Linked DNA regions of Styela clava. The protein of the gene in region 1 purifies or fractionates together with the protein of each later gene. This does not show direct contact. Links are inferred from orthologs where the notes say so. Each region holds a gene or a part of one and is shown on either strand. Other genes may lie near its edges. The genes, in order: symplekin-like, cleavage and polyadenylation specificity factor subunit 2-like and cleavage and polyadenylation specificity factor subunit 3-like.

Region 1 (7,387 bases):
CAGCTTTTTCCAGTTCAATTCGAGTTGGTTTCCGTTCTAACAACGCCAGCACGTCTTTATTGACGTGAAGTTTTTGTTGCGGAGTAAAGCGTTCTACGTATTGCAACATAGGTTCCCGTAATTCCGGCGCGGAATCGAAAACAGAAGATAATTGCACGGAAGGAAGCTGTAGTAACACTTGAAACGACTGGGGTTTCATACGCTGACAACATCTTATGAATCCATCCCATACTTTTTCTTGTTCCCAAACCTTTTTTAAAATTAATCTTTGAAGAACATTCATAACAAAACCTGATAAACGTGGATAAGTGATCAAGGACTGAATTACCGTTCTCATTAACAGAGTCGGAATTTCTGCTTGCTCCACCAAGTGGTTGATAACAGTAACCAAAACTTCCGATGTGTAAACTGCTTTTTCAGCAAAACATAAACTTGTAGCTTTTATTACACTTTTCACATCAGCAGTATTTGAATCCATATTATGAAGTGCGATCAGTAACTCCACAGGTGACAGAGAACTCACAGATGGTTCGGATTGTTGTCCTCTATTGACTCCAAGCAATCGATTAAATACTCCTTTCACCACCGGAGGATTCAATCGAACAAGCTTCGGAAGAGCTTTTAAAACTTCATTCTTTTCGAGACCGTTCAAGACTGGTATAAGGAAACGTACATCAGGGACGCGTTTTGCATACAAGTCTGTGACACGCTGCACCAGTTCTACAGTTGGGTGGGTCTTGTCTGTAAGTATATGCAACATTCTAGTAACAAGAGTCTCCGCACCTTTTGGACATCCTTCAACGAGGCGCAATAATTGTGGCGATTCCATTCCCATTTGGCTCACAGGTTTATCAAGGATTCGTAAGACAACTCGTTTCACATCTGCGCTTGTTTTTACATAAACTTCGGCAAGTGTTTCGATTAAATTATGATCCAACGGTAGCAAAGCGAGAAATAACGTCATGCATTGTTTCATTTGGGTTTCCGTCCATGTTGATTTAGCATCTACCGGTGTTCCCTCTGGGACTAGGGTCAAAGGTGGTGCGGAGTTTGATAAATATTCAAGATGAGTGACAGCATATGTTCGGATGAAATCCTGTAATTCAATTTGTAGGAAAATTGATTTTATACATTCAACAGCTTCGGTTTGGGTACTTTCATTTTTACTGACGCAAAGATCAAGTAATAAACGAAGAAACTGCATTTTTCTCGTTATTCTGTAATGCAATAAGTCCTTAACAAGTTTAATTCCCGATTGTGATCTTTTTTCATCTTCGCAATACAAACGGACTTGTTTTATCGCCCCATCAGTTAACAAAGGTGCCTGCATTACCAATTTATTGAAAAGACTGTCTCGTGTTTCTGGTTTTTCTCTGAATCCTTGTAAAAGTCCTGTCAGACAGGCATCGTAATTTTCTTGTGCAGATTTGTCATTCGAGCCACGACTGTTTTCTAAATATATATTGAATTCTTCATACAACCATGCAAATGCAAGGGAAGAACGATTCCTAATATCTTCTAAAATAAACATTGCTAAAGCTCTATGAAGATCTCCACCAAACTGTGCCACAAGACTGGTTAAAATTTTTGACCATTGGGCATGAACTCCAGCAGCGTTAGCAGCTTGTTCTGATCTCAAGACTCTCAAAACTGCATTTTTGATGATTTTATCTTTTGTGTCTAAATCGAGAGGGGTAGTGATACTTTCTAATCGAAAACCCTGGATTCTGCGAGGCAAACCACGGTTCGGTACGACTGTCTGAGATGATATCATTGCTTCGATATTTTTCTTCGATTTATCTTGAGCAGTGTCTTCTTGAACTGGTGTTGGTTTTGTTGTTCCTCCTATAACAGTTTGAATTTGTAATTTCTGTTTTCCTTCTTCTTCTAACTTCTTTTCTCTCTTTTTTGCGTCTTCTTCCGCCGCCATTTCAGCAGCTTTTTGCACTCCAGATCCGACACCCATGGCTGTCATTTGTATAGAAAGTAATCTCGCTAAATGACTGATCTGATCCTCTGTGCCCGCGGATTCAATAGGGGTGTATGAAGCTTGAAACGCGTCTGGCATTTTATCGGGCAACATAACCATGCTCAATAATACTAAATTAGCGACATTTTCTGGTGATAATAAAGGGACTAACTGTTTAGCTGTGATATCAATAGCAACACTGTGTTGATTGACCACAGGTTCTGATGGGACAGGGGCAGGTGCTGAGCTCGTAGAAGGTCCTATTTCAACATCATCATCATATTCGTTCACCTCTTTTTTCATTTTTTTATTTCCACTCCCCTCTCCTTTATCTTCATCCGGGCTACGTTTTCGCGAGCTACCGGCACTTTGGCGTTGTGACAATTTCGGCATATTTTTTGCTATCTCAGATGATGTCGTACCCAAGTCATAAAGTAGATTGGTAATTTGTGGATGATATTGTGTTGATGAAAAAAGCCGTAACATGTTCATTAGTTGCATTTTCAAATGTTTTCTCACGCTCGCGACTTGAGTTTTTGCCAGTGTTGGTGGTAAATTTGCATGTAATGCTTCAAATGCTTGTACTACCGTTCCCATAAATTGTGGTCTTTGCTTTGCGATGGCTGATAAGGTTCCCATGGCTGCCATAAGATTAACGCTCGATATAGCAGGATTAGCAATAAAACCCAACAATTTCTGAAGAGCTTTTTCTCCGTCTGCTTTTAGTTCATCCCGTTTTAGTAATGCGTGGTTTAATGGAATCTCATCAATAGAAGACGCAGGTTCTGTTTTCTTAGGTACCTCTGATCCTCGCTGTATCTCTGACAAAATCAAGATCACTTTTTCAACGAATTTGACAGTTTGGGTTCGGACTCCGTCATTGACAGAATCCAGTAATTCGTAAATATGATCTCGAATATTGCATGTCACTTTCCAACAAGCTTTATGACTGTCAGAGATGAAACTACCCTTTGTTAACCAATAGATCACAATTCTAAATAACTGTGTCATAGACTGAATGAGTTTTTTAGTGACATTCGCATTGGTATCAGCGAGTAATAAATTTAAATTCGCCATTACTTTCATGAGAAGTTCATTATCTTTTTTGCACGCCTCTTCCATGAATCCGACAACAAATTTTCTAACGTCATGCGACCTATCAGCTTGGAATGCTAGAACTTCATCAGTAAAACTATCCAGTAATGCTGGTTCTTTATTCACAATTAATTCCTGAACTTGTTTGAGTTTGTTAACTTTGTCAGGGTCCGTTGAGGCCATAGAAGCCTGATTTAACAGATCAATTACTCTTTCTGATGTTGACTGATGAGAAGATGCTGACTCATCATCTTGGTCTTTGGAATTTGATGACCTTTGCGATTTTGTACCAGTTTTTTTGGGTTTCCCCATATTGGTGATGGGAATAAATTAATATTAGGTCAAATATATGGATGTTAGGTAACGGATCTGAAATGTGAATGGTTTGATTAGTATCATTATACAGTACAGCACACCTTACAGATTGAGAGACATTGTCTCGTCCCAAAGAATCCCATAAACAAGGGAAAGGACGTCTGGACATTGTCACCTCTAATAATAGGTGAAAATATAGTAAAATGAAGCTGCACAAAAAACTACGAAGTAGCTAGAAAACGTCATCATTGAGTTCCTCAGGAAAATATAATCCGATTTACTAAAAGAAAATTTTTTTTTCACCATGACATTTTAGAGTTTTTAGCAAATAATGGGAATTTAGATCATGTGACGGCCAGGAATAATGTAGATTATTATCGAGACAAGCATGGCCCAATAAGATGCATCTGCCGTTGAGCACGATGCCCCTCGTTTCTGAGACACATAGAAGTGTTTATTTTATTGAACCAACGGGACATTCTTGGAATTTGGAAAGTGTGCCCTACTGTAATAACCATACATACATAACTACAAATTTCAACAAAACAATATGTCAAAAATATATGTTATATATTTCACTTCCGAAGTCTATGTAAACTATCAGCTGACTATTCGCATAACTAATCTTAAAAATAATAATTGAGCATGGTACTACTGTTTGGCGTTATTTAAGCAGTTACAGTGTTTATTCCGCAAAATCCGCCAAAAAAATATCACTCACTACTGCACTACGATGCCACAGTAATGTAATAAGGCCATCCGAGGTATACTACAGTACTAACTGTCATCCAAGACGCACAGACAATCAATCGAAATCGAGCAAGCTGTTTTACTCGGCGTAACGATCCCGATATGTGAGAGATCGCTAGCGTTAGTGAGTTCGTTATCGTTAAACAAAATAATATCATTTTTTTTACATTCAATAAATGTGCATGATAAGGGGGACTCAAATGTAATAATACACAAGTTTCATAATCAATTAAATTGTTTCTGCCAGTTATTTTCACGATAATCAGGAAACATAGCCTACCTGCATACGGTAATCATATACCTAGGCCTACGGTATTGTTTTACAAATGGACAATTCATGAACAAATGTGATACTAATTCTGTTTCTATAACACACAAGTCATTTCCAGCAATAAATCTAATTCTAGATACACTATCTGACTTTTGAGGGAAAAATATTCCACATTAATTCATAATTTCCGTAAAAATTTTTTTTTATAGTTCCTTGGTGTGGATTGATCAATTTTTGAAGAATAAATAAAATAATAAATACCTTTAAATAACGATAAATAAATAATAGGCAATTGAAATTCAGATATTTTTATAAACGCCTCAATTATGAAAAAAAAATGGCGCCGACCGAACTGAAACCGACTGCATTCTACGACCTACATAAACCTTTGCCACAATCACTCAAATATTTGAAATCAATGCAGATACGGTGGATAATAGAGCGCATGCATTACTTTTTTTAAATCAAAATTCCTTTATTAACAATAATTTCACACTTGGAAATAACATTTTTTGTTTTATTCGTACAAGATGTGTTTTAAAAATATATATTGATGTATTAATGATCATAAAATCTGGCAACACTCGAACGAAGAAAATAAATTGCTGACGTCTGACATCTCGCGGTTGTAACTAGGTCAACTGGTCTCCGTACATGATTTATGATCAAAACAAGCAACTAAAGTTTTCTAATTGTGTTAGATTCATATGAGTTTGATATAAAAAAAAAATGTGATATATTGGTCTAAAAATTTAAATGATTCAGATAAAAATTTTCAATTTTTCATTTCAAGTTCTTGATTGGTTTGGTCTGCTCTTTTCATTCTTGACTTTTCCTCGTTTATGTCCATTAATTTATTTATCGATATGCAGATTTTTTGTGGATGACATCTCGATGGTGTTTGCAGCCTAAACAAAGCTTTGAAAGCTGAATCATAGGCTCATAGCTGTGACGCTTGACGAATGGTGATGTCATTTTCAGAGATCACAAGATTCAAAGGGAAATCCCCTTTTTAAGACTCATTTTACATGCAGGTGAATTACCGGGAAATGATATAGCGGGCTTTAGGCCACGTATATCGGGCAGAAGTAGGCGCAATAAAACCCGATGAATGGGTAATTTGGCAGTAACTTGGTATATCGGGGTGACAGTATATTTTTCAAACTATAAAGCCATGGCACAGCAAGTAATTCGACCGTCAGCACCTCCAGCCTTTGACGAAATACTCAACGAAATCAGATCATGCCATGCTAAATCAGTGTCTCTAGCTTCGCAGGCTTTGGCACAAGATGATGCAAACAACAACGCAGACGCTATGGCACTCTATCTTCAGGCTTTGAGACATAGTGAGAATGGTTTGAGACACAATATCCACGATTTTGAACAATCCAGTGCAGGATGGGAACAAGCCAGGCAGATGCAAGAACAGATCATATCAACCATAGCTAATATAAGACAGAGAATTTATCATTTACAATCTTTTGATGAACCAGTTAATCACGATGTTCCACAGCCCGAAAGCCCGCCTTCATATTCTCTACACGACCCACTTTCATCTCAGTCTGGTCCCCAATTCCACGATAGTGACATTATGGCCGATCCACTTTTATCTATAGAGAGTGGCGCACAAATATATTTTGTCTCAGCAGAGAGCCAAGTAGAATCAATGCCTCCGTCTTACCCAGCATCCTTACAAATTGTATTATTGAAGGAAGATTCTGTAACACCAGGAGGACCTCAAGCTATACTTCAAGTCGGAGACTGGGTGTATCCACTCGCAAATAACCAGATGCCGGTTTTGAAATCTGCGAACGGTGCCTATATGTTCCCCAAGTGCACAGAAGATGGAATTCAAGAAGGGTACGCAATAGGGGTCGTAATTTCGAGCAATGTGTCGAGAGAGTATGTGGAAATGTTCGAGAATATTCTTCAAACTTATGCTGCTTTTCAAATTGAAAATCCAGACGAAGGATTTGTTGATTTATCAGAATTTATAGGAGCATTTTCAGAAGCGGATGATTACATTCCGCCAAGCATGAGTGACCGCATGGCAGCATCGGTAACAAATGGAGCGACCGCTTTGTCCCAACATGTCCGAAATGGGACAGACTATGCTACCAATTTAGTTGAAAGCAGTGCAAACAATATTAAAGCAAAGTTGACCCCAGCAGAAGGGAAAGTAACGGTCAATCCATATATCAAAAGAGGCCTTGAATATACATACAATGCAGCTGATACCACAGTCCGGGTAAAAAATTGGTTGATTCAGTGGTTATGTTCGGTCACAACTTCAGTTGGTCAACAAGTTGCCCCATATTTCACGAAGGCAATAGAAGATAGCCCAGAAAATACGAGCACTAATGTGTACGGTGCGATAAAAGTGGTGAAATCGGGGCTTGCAGGATTCGGTAAAATCTGGACAGAACTGGAAAAAGCCGGCTCAACTATTGCCCAAGCCGTTACCACAGCAACAGTTAAGAATATGGAATATAAATATGGACCAGATGCAGCGGAAGCCACAAATCTAGCCATGGGGGCCGCAGTGAATCTTGGAGCTACGGCATTTGCACTTGATAACTTGGGCACTAAGGTTATAGCTGATATAGCAGCGAGTTGCGATGAACAAAGAGTTGAATATAAATCTGCAAATGAAACGGTTTCTTTTCATAACAGTTTTAAAGATGATCAGCAACCAGACAGTTTCAGAAATATCTGATATGCTCAAGTGTTTGTTTCTGTTCAATCACATTTATCAGGGTAAATTGATGTCGGCCTAGCACATCACAATAATGTCCTCAATTCTCAATATTTTATCTATATTTCAAGTTTACCCAAAACATTCGATAAATTGATAAGCCGCAATGAAATCTTCAAAATGTAGAAGCTTACTCTACAATTATTCTGAATCAAAGAGCAAACCCAAACAGAGAATTGTGTATTCTAGGGTTTGGAATGTATTTACGGCCTTGCTCAAGAAGTTATTGCTA
Region 2 (8,157 bases), on another chromosome or scaffold:
GTAAGTTTATAAAGATTACATACGAGCTGCGACCGACTAAGTCGTAATTTACCATTCAAATGTCTTTCTCTTTTGTGATTGAAATCAACTGCATAAACGATTTCTCCTTCTTCATCAGCTTTGACTATCTTCCATGACGTCCCTCCAATAATATGAGCAGCATGTATGGGGGTTATTGATAAGCCGTGACCTTTATCTAAACCGTACATAGAAATAAAAGTTCTGCATGAACAGTTTCAAGTTTTGGTTTTTTTCATGTTCTCCATAATTATATTTGAGGTGTCTCCAACTGTCACTGAAGGCCCTCACTACTCGAAATTTTGTTCATTTGAAAATTCTACCATTATGTGGACACTATATCAATAATCAATTTTAAAACGGTGATTAATAAACACATATGTTACGTAATTGCACTGATTTACGAATTTGGTGTTCACGTCTCAATTCTAGTTTTGCCACTTGTTTATGGAAGCATACTTTTTGTATTGTAGACTGTAGTCTATGTATTTTAAGAAAATAATCAAAAAATGTATCATTTCAAAATTACCTAATGTGATTACATCATTTATTCAAATGACAGTGACAGAAAGTCCTACATACAACAAGCAACCAAGTAAACAAAAACAATTACCAGTAGTAGTCGGTCACGTTTTTAGTTTCAAAAAGTTTCTACTGTTTTACATCTATGGACTAACAACCATTCAGACAGAGACCAAATCATTGTGTGGAGGAAAAAAAGAACATTCTCATTTACTCAGGCAATTCGATATACGGTACATGTACATTGTGGGGTCATGAACCATTGTTTATCACCGATAAAGACAAATATATCTGGGAATGTTGTGGTATGAAAAGAATATCAAGGCCTTTTTACTGCAAAATTTATTTACACCTCACCTTTCAAAGTTAAAGTTTGGTTATGTTTGAGTTGAGTGATTCTATCAAATGCCATATCAACATCATCCAGTGTAAATTTATCAAATTCTTCGGTGTTGTGATGAGACTGGAAAAACCATTGTTAAATTTACAATAATAACAAATATCCAGCAAATCCCAATCATTATCAAATCTGATTCTCCAGTTGCAAACTTGCATGATAAAATTGAGGAGTGATAAATTATTTCACCCTATCAATGAGGCTATCACAAATAACATAAGTGAAATATATACCAAACAATGGCCTTATTTCTCTCCATTTGGTTCTGAAGAAAACTCAATAATGTTGTACCTAGTATAGTGATGCAGAGCATCAGGAATAATGCTAACAATGGCATTGTTGACTCCCATGAAAATGGCATTTTTGTGGGATAATCTATGAATTCTTAAACGATGTGCAGTTGTGCACCGATTACCTGAACAGGATAAATATAACTTTAGCTATATTTGTTCCCCGACTGACTTCAGCCATTAAATTAAATTTACAACTCTTACAAAGCAATGATGAAGGAATGAGGCAGAAAAATGCAAATCCTCTGTTGCAGAATACCTGATATAAGTCATACATGAACATTTGCCCCATTTTATAGATGGGAACAGTTGCATATATCGGACAAGTCAATCCAACTTTTCCAACAAGATAAGGCAAACAGCCGAGATGTTGAGGATCAGGAAATGAAAGTAAGATAGCATCAATTTGGCTCAAATACCTACAAATAATGAAATGATTATTAATATTGAATACCTCAGCATCCCAAAAAAAGGGTGACAATGTGTTGCCAATGAATTATTGTGCCATCAGCGGTTAAAGATATTGTGTTAATCCCATTACCACCATATGCCCCAAACTTTCATAAATCGATTCACACAGCAGTGGTGCCAATAGAAAAAGGGCTAATATGAGATTCAAATCGAAACCTTTCTAATAAATTCTGTCTGGAGAAGAGATGATCATGGTAATAAAGTTAGCATTGGATCTAGCTGAACCCTAGATATGGATGTACTTGTTATCAGTTGCTAGCCCTGCTAGCTCCCAAAACAGTCGCACAATAGTCGTATATGTGGCTATTCCACAAAAGACAACACTCGTTTTCTTCCACTAAAATGAATGTTTCTCATCCTTGCTATTTTCAAAACAATGAAAAATCAACAAGCTTTCTGTGCTTCAATCATTGAAATCTCATCTTGTGCTTGGCCCAGATTCTTAAATTGGGCCCTCGGTCACCCAAGAGGGCCACAGAGAGGTCATGTGGGGGCAATGAGCAAAGGCCTTTACTAAGTATCATTTGTCATGACTACATTAATTTGAAGTAAATGACTGTGATTTTGTTAATTCTTTGACTACAATGCACTTATTATCCTGGTTGTTGTTTTCATCATTGAACATAGTGAAAAATATTTGTGATGAAAAAACACAGTAAAAGCAAACCTATGTATTCTTATAAAGTGCTGAGAGTGAGAGTTATTGGTGAAGGCCTGAAGGGTCATGAAGTTTGAGAACTACAGGCTTCCTAGTATTGGGAAACATTGCTTTTATTGAAGGGTACTTTTTAATAGCTGTTCGAATAAGACAAATGGTATATTCGCAGGGTAAAAGTAGTCAGCATGACAAACCTCCTCAAAGGGTCAACAAAAATGCTAATGCAATGCATTAAGCGAATAGAGTAGATTCATTTGAATAACTATTTCCCATGATAGCGCACAGTGCTGTAAAACTTCCATACAATTTGGAGGAAAAATGCAAAGCTACCTTTTTATCTTTTTTATAATGCCATCAGAAAACCACTCGTCCCAACCACAGTCCAGCAAAAACGTAAATTCATCAACCTGTTGATATGGAGATAACATGCTTCAGAAACATTTATTACAGATTTGTATTTTTACAAGACTGCTTTCGAGAGAAAAAGTCATTGCTTCTTCTAGAATCCAGTGGTTCCTAAACTTTTTAAGTTAAATGTGTGGAGTCTCATGTCCCATCTCAAAAATAACTAGCTAATAATAATAGGCTACAAATAACAGATCGTAGGCAAAAGTATGTTTTATTCAAAAAACACGTTGAAATTATGTGGATAGAATGTAAATATCCTTCACCTAGCTTCAAGCCCCAAAAAATTATCCCACCGTTTGAGAAGCCCGTTCTAGACGCATTCTCTGTGAAGGCAAAATAATCTAATTACGTTTCAGTGGTCACATCGTTGAACATGAACTTTCAATCTAATTATAAAAAAACTGCTCCTAAAAGACACAGAGAACAAATGAAAAGACAATAACAACAAATCACCTGCAGAAGATAGCAGTTTGGTTCTTCATTTTGAGCACCAGAAAGTGCTGTGAACTTGATTATAGATGTCATATTTTAACAGATTTCATAAATACCATGCCGGTTGAAAAAGTTTAATTCATCTACGTTCAAAAAACAAACAATATATTAATTAAGCACTAATGAAAAGTCAAGAGTTTCTAATATTCAAGTCCAATTTTAAACAAGACATTTGTTAATAACATCATTGAGTGGAACATATATAATCCATACATACATCATATGCAAAATAATTTAACCTCATATTTAGTCAACAGATTGCTCCAATATTAATCTCATTATTCCAGACAGTAATTTCCGATTAAATGTTGTTTTAAAACAATATTATTCAGGAGTGAATATAGAAATTATAAATATTCAAAATTGAAACTAATTTGAAATATGAAAAGAATCAACAACCAATATTCCATGAAACAGCTTTATTTAAATTAGAGGTGTTTCTAATACTTGGAAACATAAAGTTACAACTTACAACAGTCCAAAAATATAACAAAATTCAAAATCCTGGTTTATTTTGACAATATTTCCCTATATTTTTATACTAAATGACTTCGCAATAACATGTGATGTATAAAAATGGTCAGGCATAAGTCATTAACCAACTTTTATAATATCATCGGAAATGAAGGAATATTCTGGAACTTCAAGATTCAATGGTGCTGGCCCTTTTCGAATTCTACCAGACGCATCATAATGAGAACCATGGCATGGACAATAGTAACCACCAAAGTCACCAGCATTGGCAATTGGGACACATCCTAAATGGGTACAAACTCCTATAACAACTAAAAAGTTTTCCTTCTGAGTACGCTCAGCATCGTGCTGTGGATCTCTCAACTCTGCAACATTAACTCCTTTTTCTCTCTCAATTTCATCAGGAGACCGATGGCGAACAAAAAGAGGTTTTCCTCGCCACTTGAAAGTAATGCTTTTTCCTTCAGGAACTTCGGACAATGGGATTTCTATTGATGCAAGAGCAAGAACATCTGCTGAAGCACTCATTGTTTTAAGGAACATAGTTACCGCAGATTTGGCCAAATAAACTCCTCCCATGCACACTCCAGCTGAAATGGCATAATGATATGTCTTGGTTCTGAGCTTCCGTTCATCTTCTGTCTTTCTAAAATCGCTTACATCATCTTTAAGTTTCTGTCGATAGGCACTGAAATCAGGAACTGCAGCATCAGTGTGCGCATATCTTACTGAAGGAGCCCCGAAAATAGAAACAGTTGCCATTGGTACAGCAGAAGGTAGTTTAGTAACTGCTTTCTGGGCAACATCAGGTAGTTGAGCTTTCAATGCTACTGCAGCTGGTAAAGGTCGCATTTGCTTGGTAATAATTTGAATTGTGTGAGATATTCCAGGCATAAAGTTGCCTTTTATCAACAGGGGAAGCATTTTTATATCTTAGAATAAATAAATATATACACAAAACTAAATTTTCAAAGAAATATGTAATATTGAATTGGGGAAATTCACATTCTAACATTGTTTTATTCTATAAGTAACGGTATTCTAGTATTCAGGATCAGCCACTTTTGCCTGACTAAAAACACCTAGATCTGTAGATTGATCTAGAAACATCCAGATTAAAAAATAAAACATCTATTTATGAAGTCATTTAATTTAATGAAAAGTAACCATAAAACAGTAATATTAGATGTCGAAGAAGCTAACATCATAATCTAGAATTCAATTCCCATCTGCAGAACTTACAAAAGACCTTGTTCTTATCATCTGGGGCAAACCATCCCTTACCGTACAGCTGTACAGCCTTAAGTCAAAATTTTCTAAATTTTTGCTGGTAGTGTATAAACTTTGGCATTTTGAAAGATTGATGTTTAAAGAGAGACACATTCAATAGCACTTATAAACTTAATAATTTTAAAACCCCTTGGCAACAATATCATCCGGAAAACGTCTCTTTTCTATTTAACGTTAATTAAAACGTCACATGTTTTAATCATGTTTAATTCGTTATTCAAATATTTTAAGTACATATGGCTGTATGGTACCATACCGGGGGACGAATACAATATGAATGACTTTTATCAATCTTACATCAATACCGGTACCTCTAAATAATGAAATACGGTAATATTCATTCACCTATTAGATAGATAGATAGTTTATTTCGAAAACTCCATAACAAACCTAAATTTAAAATGGAGAATTCTGGAGGGCAAGCAAAACCTACAAAAACGTTTAAAACATGAAGTATCTCATGTGCCTGCCCACCAGCACGCACACAAAAACACAAGCCCAATTAAATGAGGCTTGGGCTACAGTATTATACACATCTCTTTATTTATTTCTCATTGAATAATATTCAAAACTTCGAAAAAAAATCTAGATTTTATAGCTAACATCTAGGCTCCAAATTTTACATCTAGATCTTGAAAAAAACATCTAGATCTAGATCATGTTAGCCGTTGATCTAGATATAAAACATCTAGAGTGGCAGCCCTGGACTCGGTACCCCTGTGCAGTTGTATCGGTTCATGAAAGGTCATGAAGGTAAAGGTCATGAAAGTTGGTAAAACATAATCAGGGGGGGGGGGATCTAATGATATCGATATATATATAGTCATATTATACAATTGTCGTAATAATATGATATAAAACCGAACAAAATTATTATTGCTCATGGAACAATGAAACCTGTATCACCAGAGTAATCAATTCATTATTACTCAATTAATACACGACAACGAAAGAAAACTGCTGGTATAACTGGGCATATGCCCTATATCATATTTCGTGAACTTGCCTATCCCGGTACCACTTTCACGAACGTTCCGGACAAAAGCAAACTCACGTCCGTTCTCACGAGTTTTATGCACTGAAAAAAAAAATCCATGAGTGAGAAAAATGACCCAGCGGATGCATTGTTACGTCACTTTTTGCATCTCGTTGATTGGCCGATGTCACGAAGTAAACAAGGAAGTCGATGCTTGGGGAAACATCCATATAATACTGTATACTGTTGAAAATTGGCACATTAACTTACAGACGCACTCTTCATTGGCTATTTAATACGAAAATAAAACAGGCACAATGGAGAAAGAAAATCATAAGGAGGTCAACTATCGTATCCATGAATATCCTGATTCCGGTGTCAGAAATATTATAATTTCACCCTAAAATTTGGACACTTAATTTACAAACGGTGGCGAGAAAGATCAAAGCCGGCGCAAAATATGAAAATCGGAATAAAATCCCGAATTCACCAACAATAGAATGTCTAGCGTTCTGGATGCCTGTGGTATACAAATTAATAATTCCCGATATTTGACGATTCGTTAAAATTATTTGATTCGATAAAAATATTCTATCCGACAAATTTTGGCAACGGGAGGAAGATATTAAATTTGAAAAAAATTAGGTTGTGCAAAAGTGTGAATACCTGATGATGATATTTTTTTAGGACGGAAACGACATGTGTTTAAATACAGATGAAATTATCGCCTAACCAGGTATCCGCCATCCGTCTGAACCCTGCCTTTTCAGGTGATTTGTAGAATCAAGCTCAGTATGGCTGAAATTCACTATTAATATTATATACCTGTTACTAAATGCGGGGTATGTTGTCTTCATATGAATAAAATTCCCCTTATCTGATCTTCTTTTCTTTAAATTAGTTTATAGCAGAAAGGCTTTATGAGTAGAAAATGTTCATGTTTTGTGATAGGTGTGCCGCGAATATTTAAAGAGCTCAATAGTGTGCCGCGATACGAAAAAAGGCTGGGAACCACTGCACTGATGAGATACAGATAGATTGTATTTCGTTGACTGTTTCGAAAGACGGCTTCAGTTTCTTTCAGGTAACGTGATGAGTAACTCGCCATGGCCGCTAAAAGCCAGTTGTTGGAAGTCGTCCTGTCTCGAACTACTGTGGTAGTTGTTTTTTGGGCAACGTAAAATAGGCCTGGACTAATGTTTACTATTATACAAACAATGGGACAAGCACCCTGCTGTCCTGGCATGAAATCCGGCTCCCCCCAAGTTTCAATAGATAATTAAAATAGGCAGTGTCTTTAATAGCACTAGGGCCTATTTTTGGGGGATATCTTTTATTTTCATTTATCAAAAACAAAATTACAAAGTAGAGAATTACGAGATTTACATATATGGACAATATACAAAATATGAAAACCGGTATCCATTTACCTATAAATACTGTAACCCGTTTTTATTTGAAAGAACTACTAAACATACCGTGTTTCCCTGAAAATAATACAATGTCTTATTTCAATTTTCTCTCAAAAAATAACTCTAGGGCTTATTTTGGGGGGATGTCTTTTATTTTCAATTAGAGAATTTTTAGATTTCCAAATATACAAAATATGAAAACCGATATTCATTTACTTATAAATAACACGTTTTTATTTAATTAAAATACCCACTAAAACATAGATTTTCAATCCTTTAAAACGAGTAGGTAAAATTTCTTGCTATGATATCTACTGTATAAAGCCTTTAGGTATTTTAAAATTGCTTTTCCCGTGTTTGGTTTTGTAATGTTGCTTAAAATAACAGTCTTTCGTGACAGATATTATTTGAAAACACACCAGACACTGTGGTTTAATGTTGTTGTGAGTAAGTAAATACATTGCTGCCACATGGCCAACGCTTGAAAATAATGGAGTGTTTTAAACTAAAAAAAGAAACAAAACGGGTCTCCGAATGAGGAGTTACTTGACGCGAGCGTAAGGCACGAAGTTTCGATAAAAAGCGCGACTCATCTCATCGGCTTGGTTCTGTCTGCACAACACAATTCATTTTCCTTCTACCTATCACAGGACGTCATTCTCATATTGGCACCGTCTTGACGTCTATAGATACAACTTTGAAATTCCGAAATTAAAAATTATTAGAAAATGTTCTGCCAATAAATGCAA
Region 3 (8,466 bases), on another chromosome or scaffold:
CATTAATCTTATAATGAGTTAGTTTTTAAATATGAGTTGTCCAAAAAAGAACAGGGTGTCCATAAGATCTCTTTACAATATCCATTTTGTTACGAAGTCAGTTCCCAATATATCTTAACCAGGTATGTTTGTTTTTAATCAGAAATTGTTTAGTTATTTTTACTTCATTGAATACATCTGTGAGGGCCGAAACAATATATGGTATCGATAAATTCCGCTTGCAATTTTAAAACATTTCAAAACTTTTGGACAACTTTCAACAAAGTTGAAAGTGAGTTGAATGACGGTTGCCTCCATGCCACAGAGATAGAAATGATCCAGCTTTCTCTCAATTTTTTTAAATTTCCAGTAATTACCAAAACCGAAAGAAACAACAAGAATTGGCAAATGTAGTATTCTCACATTCTTCCGATATAGTTTTACCAGAAAAATAGAATTAAGTTATCCAAAATATTATTGCCTTGAAGTATAAATATAAAAAGATCAAACCTACCTGACTTTGATATAATCAGAAAGCAACCATCTATAGATAGCTTTTGTAGCATGAGTCATGAACACTCGTCCTTTGAAAGGAGTTTTCTGTAGAAACCATGGTAGACCTCCACAATGGTCAAGATGAAAACTGGATAAAACGGAAAAAAAGGTTAAGATTCTGTCAATAATATTAGACTAGAATAGTGGTTTCTAACTGAGGGCCCCAGAGTAGTCATAGGAGGCCACAATACTATTATGACAAATTGATTTCAATCACATTTCGTTTGCATACTTTTCACTTCAAAAGAAAATACCTTGCTCTTCATAGTTTCATTACCTGAATACTTTTGTAATAGGTTGTACATTATTATTAAACACATTTGTCTTTTTACCCTTTGTTTGATAGATCTACATAATGAAACATAATAGTTTTTTGATATGGTGAACAAGGGGGGCCATGAGTGCTAAAGCCTCCCATACGGGGCCATGACCTAGGTAATATTACCCCAGGACACACAAAAAAAAAGAGACAAATTAAAACAATAAAAATATTGAATTTAATTCTTGGTATATCCCATATTGAAACGCCTTATCTCTTTTTCAAATTAAATGAAAGATGAAACCACTTGACTTTATATACTTGAAATTATTGCCGATTTAATAAACCACATACTAAGGTAAGACATTAAATTCTCTCTTAGGACTTAGGTTTAAATTCAACTCAGAATAAAATTACTTACTGTGTAACAAGCAATAAATCAACTTTATCAGGATCAGAGAAATCAAGATACGGAAGGCCTGCTAATCCACTAATCCCTGGATGAATTCCACAGTCCAGCTGCATAAAATGAAAAGTATTAGTAATGAAGATTAGAACAGACACTAGACAAGCTGTTACGGAATGGGCTACTATTATTGGAATGGGCCAAAATCTTTTCGGCCCAGTTCCATTGCATACTCAATTTATTACACTCATGAATAATAGGCGGTGAGCATGAAAATGGAACTAGATTGAATTATATTTTCTGATGTTTCCACACGTTTCTACCAAAAAATTGAACTAGATTGAACCAGATTGAACTAGACTACAGGGGTGGTGACTCCTCTATGATCCATGGGCCGGAGCCACGGCCCATCTAATTGGGCCACATGAGCTGTGGCCCATCAAGCTATGGGCCGTGGCCCCATCAGGAAAAATTCAATTATCTTACCAAAATTTTCAATTTTTTACAAAATTGTAAATATTCAAAACAAAAAAAAATCGTGGGATGCCACCAAATTTTTTTCTTACGATAAGCCTTTATATAAAAATAAAGCATAATACCAAACTACAGAAAAGGATACTCCTGTAGTATGTGTACCAGGCTAGGGTTAGGACAAAATTTTGTTCAGATTTTTCACATTATAGTTCTATTATGAGTTCGGAGACTGTCTGTGTTAGCCAAGTGAATAGTCCCTTTACATAACTCGATGGGTCGCGGCCCATAGCCTGATGAATTGGGAATAGCATTGAATTGGGCCTCGGCCCCGACCCATGGGCCGTAGAGGAGTCACCACTCCCACTCGAACTAGATTCTACTAAAGAATTGAACTAGATTGAATTCTATTTTCTGATGTTTCCACAAGTTTCTACCAAAACAGCTAAGGCTCCAAGCATGCAGACATTGATACACAAAGATGTCACTATTCTTGGAATCCCAGGAGTCCCTCCCAATCATCCTCCATTATGGGATTCTATACCTTAGAAAAGGTGGAGGAGAATGGGTATGGAAACCAAACAACATTGTTGATCTAAAGTTCTGCTCACTAAACCATCATGCAATACAGCACACTTTGAAGATGGAGCGACATTGTCTCGTTTCAGAGAATCCCATTTTGCGACGAACAGACACCCCTCCCTTTGGGGACGTTTGGACATTGTTGTCCCTCAATGTCGGTAAAAATGCAGTAAAAAGAAGTTGCGTGATAAACTAAAGAGAAGCGCAATCTAATAAACGTAATCATTGAATTCATCGGGAAAAAATAATCCGATTTTTACCATGGCATTCGAGAGTTTTTAGCAAAAAACGGCAACTTTGGTAACTTGATGGCCCTCGATTAATTTAGATTATTATCGAGACAAGCATGGCGCGATATGACGCATCTGCCGTCGTGCCAGACAACCCTCATTTGTGAGACATATGGAGTGTTCGTTTTATTGAACCAAATGACGAAACATTCTTGGAATTTGGGAACTAGGCCCTACTATCATGTCCATCGTATTATAAATTGTTGGCTGAAAAAAAAAAATGGAACGAAAACTTTAAATAGTGCTCAACAACCAAAAAATAAAATCCTTAATAAAAGTCTACCATAATCTTTTTTCCTTTATATTCCATCAAATGACATGATCTCCCAACTTCTTGACCAGACCCACTGAAATTATAAAAAAAAAACGCTAAATCTGTAAATTGAATCATGTTGAACAAAAAATTATCATTTACAATACAGCATATTGCTGAAGTGTAACATCTGAAGATTGCAAAACCAGTACAAAAATCTCAAATTGGTTCCATAGATGCATTGTCAGACATAGAAGAAATGGAGTCGTATATTACTCACAGCGGAGTGATTTTTAATAAATCAGTTTCTTCGGTCTTCTGTCCACTATTCGCCATTTTATCCGTTTATTTCCCTTCGAACGAGGAGACGAATAAGACACGGTTCCGAGAGAATCAGTTACCGTACCAGTACCGGTTCTTTGGGAAATGTGGAGCATGAACTGAGTAGTGACCGGAGATTTCAATTGAATGAAAGTTTTTCACAGAATTGAGAATTTATTTTGACGGGAAAAACGCGAGATATATAATTAATTTGTTCAATTGCAAATACAAATCAGTTTTATGCAATATCGATTCAAATCAAATTCATGCTTACGTACGATATTCATGATTGCCTTTGCGAAAAAATGAAACTTCTTTCTTTCAACTCCAACTTCCACATAAATATACGCATCAATGCATTCATACACCAACAAAATCACGTGACTTTTGGAGGTAACTGAGCTGCATTTGTCGCACACAGTTTCATGTATTCGTTAATTCAATCTTTTGAAACAAACCGGCGAGCTCGAAAAACGTAAATTATAGAAAATGGAAAAGATTCGACCACTCGCGCGTGCTTTTTATCTTGGAACTGTGAGATATAAAAAGGTTAGCATGCCTTTATTATAATCTTACTTACGGCAGTACGGTATCTTTGACATTCAAACATTCTATAGACATTTTAATTTTGTAGGTATCTCCAACGAAAATATTCAAACACAAATAAAAAAAATTAAATATTATACATTCTAGCAGTTTCATAGTTATATGAGACACGGATAATTTGCCCTAACGCAGTCATAGACACCACCCAGCCCTCAGATGTTAAATGTATCTGGTGGCAAAGCTGCAAAATGAGATCATGCATTTCTCCATTTATAATATTTTGATCAACCCCTTTTCATCGATTCATGGAGATTTTACCCTCAATTTTTGAGGAAGTGTGATATTTTGGTATTATGCAATTGAAATCAATGTACTGATGTAATGTCTCATTTATTGCAGGCTTTAAAACTTCAACACAATCTTGTCAATTGGAACAAAGTTCAACCAGAAGTTGCAAGTCCTACTTTACTATTATTACAACACAACCCTGTGTATACGATAGGTAGGTTTTGTTAACTTCAGAAATACTTATGTCTGAGTTCAACTTGAAAAAGAATAATTACACCTAATGTGGAAATGCACATGGATTATTCAACTGTTCAATGCTAACAATATTACACAGGTTACAGAGACAAGCAATACACAGATGAAGAGCAAAAATTACTGGAAAGTCTTGGAGCAGATTTTGTGAAAACTGACAGAGGAGGTAAATTTCAGATAAAAATTAATTGCTTCAGTTAAAAAAGACATTAAGTAGGGAAGGAGTACCAGTGGTCACTTCACCAACTACAATACTATCAAAGTTTTCAAAGATTAAATATTTTGTTACTGAATACACTAAATTATGCTATATTATGCATATTCGAATAGGTACTTCCGAAGTATGTGAATCAAGATGGCGGACACCGGAATGTAGTATGTGTACCCGATTTGGCTATGATTTCAGGTGCAAATACTACGGGAGTCACTTGGCTAGTCCCTGAACTCGTAATAGAACTAAAATAAGGAAAATTGGAATAAAATTATGGCCTAACCCTAACCTGGTAGTCTGGTACACATACTACGTTCCAATGTCTGCCACCCACGAATATAATATATTTAAAATGGCAAGATGATTTTAACTCATTTCTAATGATGCCCTCTGTTAACTATTTTTGATTAACTATCCAGAAATTACAACGGAACATTACCAGGCTCCAAATTTATGGCAGAGTAATATCTCACACAGGTTCTATCATTACTTTATATTTGATATACGGTAGTATATGTCTGTAAAAATTTATCAATTTCAATGCATCACGTCATCACTTTTTCATAGTAAAGTGAATTCAATAATCATTGGAAGATTCCGATATCCAAGGGTATCAAAAGATTATGCTTTACAATATCAAAGAGTTGCAAATGTTTATCCAAGCCCTTCGTACATAAATTGTGATTTACTTTCATTCCTAGGTCTGATAACATTTCATGGGCCAGGTCAGTTAGTTGTTTATCCTGTGTTCAGTCAACTTCAGATAGAAATCGGTGTAAGAAAGTATGTTTGGTTGCTGGAAGAAGTTATCATTAACCTTTGTAAAAAGTAAGGTCATTCATTATATTTCAATATGTTTTGTTATCTGGTTTTGAGTTTCCAAGTGGTAATTTGTGTATAATTGCATATTAGCCACCACACATTGAAATTATTATTTTTGGAACTGAGGTCGGCTAATCATAGCTTGTCATTTCATACACATATTGACTAGAAAGTTTCCAAAAAACCATTTAATCCAACTTTTACCAAAACATCTACCATAAATATTGAGTAACTATTTTTTGGATGATTGTGCAAGAAGATGCAATATTGTGGTATATTATGAATTGATAGTCATTATTTGTTAAGTTCATGGGGCATTTTGCAGAAAATTATCAATGCAAACTTGTTCATGTTTATAATAAGTATTATGGTTTATATGTCACTGTTTGGTACTCCCGGAGTATGTGTACCAGGTTATGGTTAGGCCATAATTTTATTGAACTTGAAGTAAAGTAGGTGAACAAAATTATCCATAACCGTACACATGCTTTTGGAGCGCCCAATGCTTTATAAAGCATAAAGTGGGTGCGCAAGTTCTCTATTTGAATTGAATTTTCCTCTTTCAATAGCAAATCTGAAATGTATTTCCAGGTACAATATAGAAGGAATTCGATCTCCTCACACAGGAGTTTGGGTTGGGAACGATAAAATATGTGCAATGGGTGAGTTCAAGGGTGAGATTTGATAAGTTGATGGGCAGTTTAATTTTAAGACTTTTATTTATCAAAGTTTATTTTATTTTTGTTGTCGAAAAAAATCTAAATTGGGGGAGGGGGGGGGGGGGCTATTCTTAGAAATGTGGAATCGTATAAATATCTTGGTATCCATATTAATAAAATGAATTGCGATATTCAAATATCAAGCATTATTGTTAAATTATCCAAGGGGGTAGGTAGGATAAGGTAACTTAGATAAGTTTTTTTCGACTCCGTCGACTCATCTTAGATAAGGTTTAATGCGTACAGAATATAAGATGGAAGGTATTGCCAAAAAGAAGTTGTATGTGTTCACTCACTTTGCTCGCAGATGTGTTTTATTTATTTCACTGTGAGCTTGCTTGAGATAAGTTATACTTATTAAATTACTTTATTTTCATCAGGTATTAATGCTCAGAAAAAAACATATTCACATGGACTGGCATTAAATTGCAACACAGATATGTTATGGTTTTCACGGATAGTTCCTTGTGGCATCTTAGACAAAGGCGTGACATCTCTAAGCTTGCAAACCGGTAGAGACGTCACAGTTGAAGAAGTCATGCCACTATTTCTTAAAGAAATGTCATCAGTATTCGAATGGGACATTCTACCTCTACAACACTGTGAATTGGACAATAATAATATTGATGACGAGACTTTATTTCAACTAGTAACGAATAAGAAAAAGAATGAAACATATATGGGTGTGAAATCGTGATACAAGCTCTGATATTGAAATTACTCTTTGTTTTTTTTGGTTCCTATATTATTATTACTTTGTTAATATTATGCATTTTGAATAAAAAATTTCAAACATCAAATCGCATACCTTCTTTTGTTCAAGTCGCATACTATTATAAAAAATAAGCCAAATGGGTGATTTCCCTACACCCGCTATTGGGGGTGGACACCCCTCTTAATTTTGAGGTGTGATACCACACTATAATTACTAATTTAAGTATAGTTTTATTTAAATATATAGAATATACTGAGCCAAATAAAACAAATTAGGAAGAAGATGGCGCACAACCTGAACATAGTGTTGTGTACCGGTTAGAATTCAGGTTGTGCGACATCTTGGTACGCATACTTCTGGAGCACCACAAATTATCATATAATTAAGGCTTGGCTGTGTCCTCTGTAGCGACACAAGAGCTTAGAAAATATTGGCCGATATCTAGAGATGGGGTATTCTGTGACTACACTCACTGTCAAAATAAATTCGAAGAAATTCATAATTTGATATCACAACCGATGTAATGAAGTTTAAATCTGCAATGTAACATTATTGCATTTTATGACATCATAATTAGGTCAATTATATGATCCTAGGCTACAGTGTAGATTTGTAACCTGATTTGTGATATTACAAATAGCTTTGTAAAAAAATTGAGAAAGTACAATAAATTTCACGACAGTTGTATTAAAAAACGAGCAACGATATGTACGTCCAATATAAGGTTGAGAAAAGTGGGAGATCGCTGGATGACGTCCAGGTAGGGCCTTTTTGTATTCGTACCGAGAAAAGCCTAATAATAAGCCCTGTTGGTGGAGGAATCTAAACTGAACATCGACTACCGTCCGGCTTTCTTCATAGAGTGATTTCCCGATGTCGCGGACTCGCGCAGGGTAATCGGTGGGGCGATGTCAAGCATGATCCAACGCATGGTGAGCAAACCACCGAGCCGCGTATGATAAATGCACGCACTCCCTCTTTGCACTTGTGGATCGGCAATGTAAGTTGCAGTCATTGCTGGATTCAATGTAAGCAAAGCCGCACAATTCATGTTCCTGGCAGAATTGTTGGCTTTAAACTAATTTGTATCGAACGAGAACTTACGCAATACAAAATCTTACTTTTACGTAGTTCAAGTGGATGGATAAGTATCGATAGCATTGCAGGTGGCACGAACCGGGCACAGATCTTAGGCTCATCGTGGCAAGCGTCTGCACCTCTGATTACCCTGTGTTGGCTCGCAGATTGGAATCCCGTAGCCGTGGCGGATAATTATGTGAGAGAGGATTGCTGGACTACTCGCCGTCGTAGTGTGGCTCACGTATACGTTGGTCGGTTACAACTAATGGACCACCAATCGATTACAATTGTCAGTGCTTAAATAGAACTGTAACGTAATCATCAGAAGGCTATTACTTCTATTGTTTCCCATGGGACCTGATATTTCAACTAAATTTTGCTGTTTCATTTTATTACATGAGAATACTGTTATGGAATATGGAACACTTTATTCCGTCAAGCTTGTCCGCCAATTTTCACTACAGACTCCGCTGCTCAGAGACAGCTATTATCTTACAATAGCAGTACGAATCGCCGCATTTCGTTTCCACATATTTGAACATTGCTCGCACGCTTATCGAATCTAACCACGGGCTTTATTTTCCATACTTTCTGTTCCACTGCACTTGTTGATTTGAAGTGTTTTTCGAGAGCATATGAAACAAAATAAATTCACCTGTCTCCACCGTGACACATTGATATTAATTTGCAGTGAGTATTTCAAGAGCTAAATTCATC

What was found.
Region 2: the proteins of symplekin-like (region 1) and cleavage and polyadenylation specificity factor subunit 2-like purify together in Drosophila melanogaster (affinity purification with western blotting; 3 studies listed by BioGRID). This does not show direct contact. The link is inferred for Styela clava from reciprocal best matches to the Drosophila melanogaster genes Sym and Cpsf100.
Region 3: the proteins of symplekin-like (region 1) and cleavage and polyadenylation specificity factor subunit 3-like purify together in Drosophila melanogaster (affinity purification with western blotting; 3 studies listed by BioGRID). This does not show direct contact. The link is inferred for Styela clava from reciprocal best matches to the Drosophila melanogaster genes Sym and Cpsf73.

The regions. Positions count from the first base shown.
Region 1 is NC_135263.1:4,745,014-4,752,400, reverse strand, and holds the start of symplekin-like, read right to left. Parts: upstream 3,433-7,387; 5' UTR 3,377-3,432; coding exon 1-3,376. Other genes in the region: spartin-like, read left to right, coding at 5,512-7,116. UniProt on the Drosophila melanogaster protein: Component of a protein complex required for cotranscriptional processing of 3'-ends of polyadenylated and histone pre-mRNA. Involved in germline stem cell transit amplification, differentiation and mitosis-to-meiosis transition.
Region 2 is NC_135251.1:30,702,401-30,710,557, reverse strand, and holds the start of cleavage and polyadenylation specificity factor subunit 2-like, read right to left. Parts: upstream 3,342-8,157; 5' UTR 3,290-3,341; coding exon 3,218-3,289; intron 2,764-3,217; coding exon 2,687-2,763; intron 1,647-2,686; coding exon 1,487-1,646; intron 1,004-1,486; coding exon 898-1,003; intron 197-897; coding exon 53-196; intron 1-52. Other genes in the region: cytochrome b-c1 complex subunit Rieske, mitochondrial-like, read right to left, coding at 3,851-4,654. UniProt on the Drosophila melanogaster protein: Component of the cleavage and polyadenylation specificity factor (CPSF) complex that plays a key role in pre-mRNA 3'-end formation, recognizing the AAUAAA signal sequence and interacting with poly(A) polymerase and other factors to bring about cleavage and poly(A) addition.
Region 3 is NC_135251.1:10,436,170-10,444,635, reverse strand, and holds the start of cleavage and polyadenylation specificity factor subunit 3-like, read right to left. Parts: upstream 3,218-8,466; 5' UTR 3,132-3,217; coding exon 3,076-3,131; intron 2,890-3,075; coding exon 2,826-2,889; intron 1,313-2,825; coding exon 1,215-1,312; intron 623-1,214; coding exon 494-622; intron 1-493. Other genes in the region: octanoyl-[acyl-carrier-protein]:protein N-octanoyltransferase LIPT2, mitochondrial-like, read left to right, coding at 3,606-3,665, 4,062-4,164, 4,285-4,368, 5,115-5,241, 5,827-5,897, 6,335-6,651. UniProt on the Drosophila melanogaster protein: Component of the cleavage and polyadenylation specificity factor (CPSF) complex that plays a key role in pre-mRNA 3'-end formation, recognizing the AAUAAA signal sequence and interacting with poly(A) polymerase and other factors to bring about cleavage and poly(A) addition.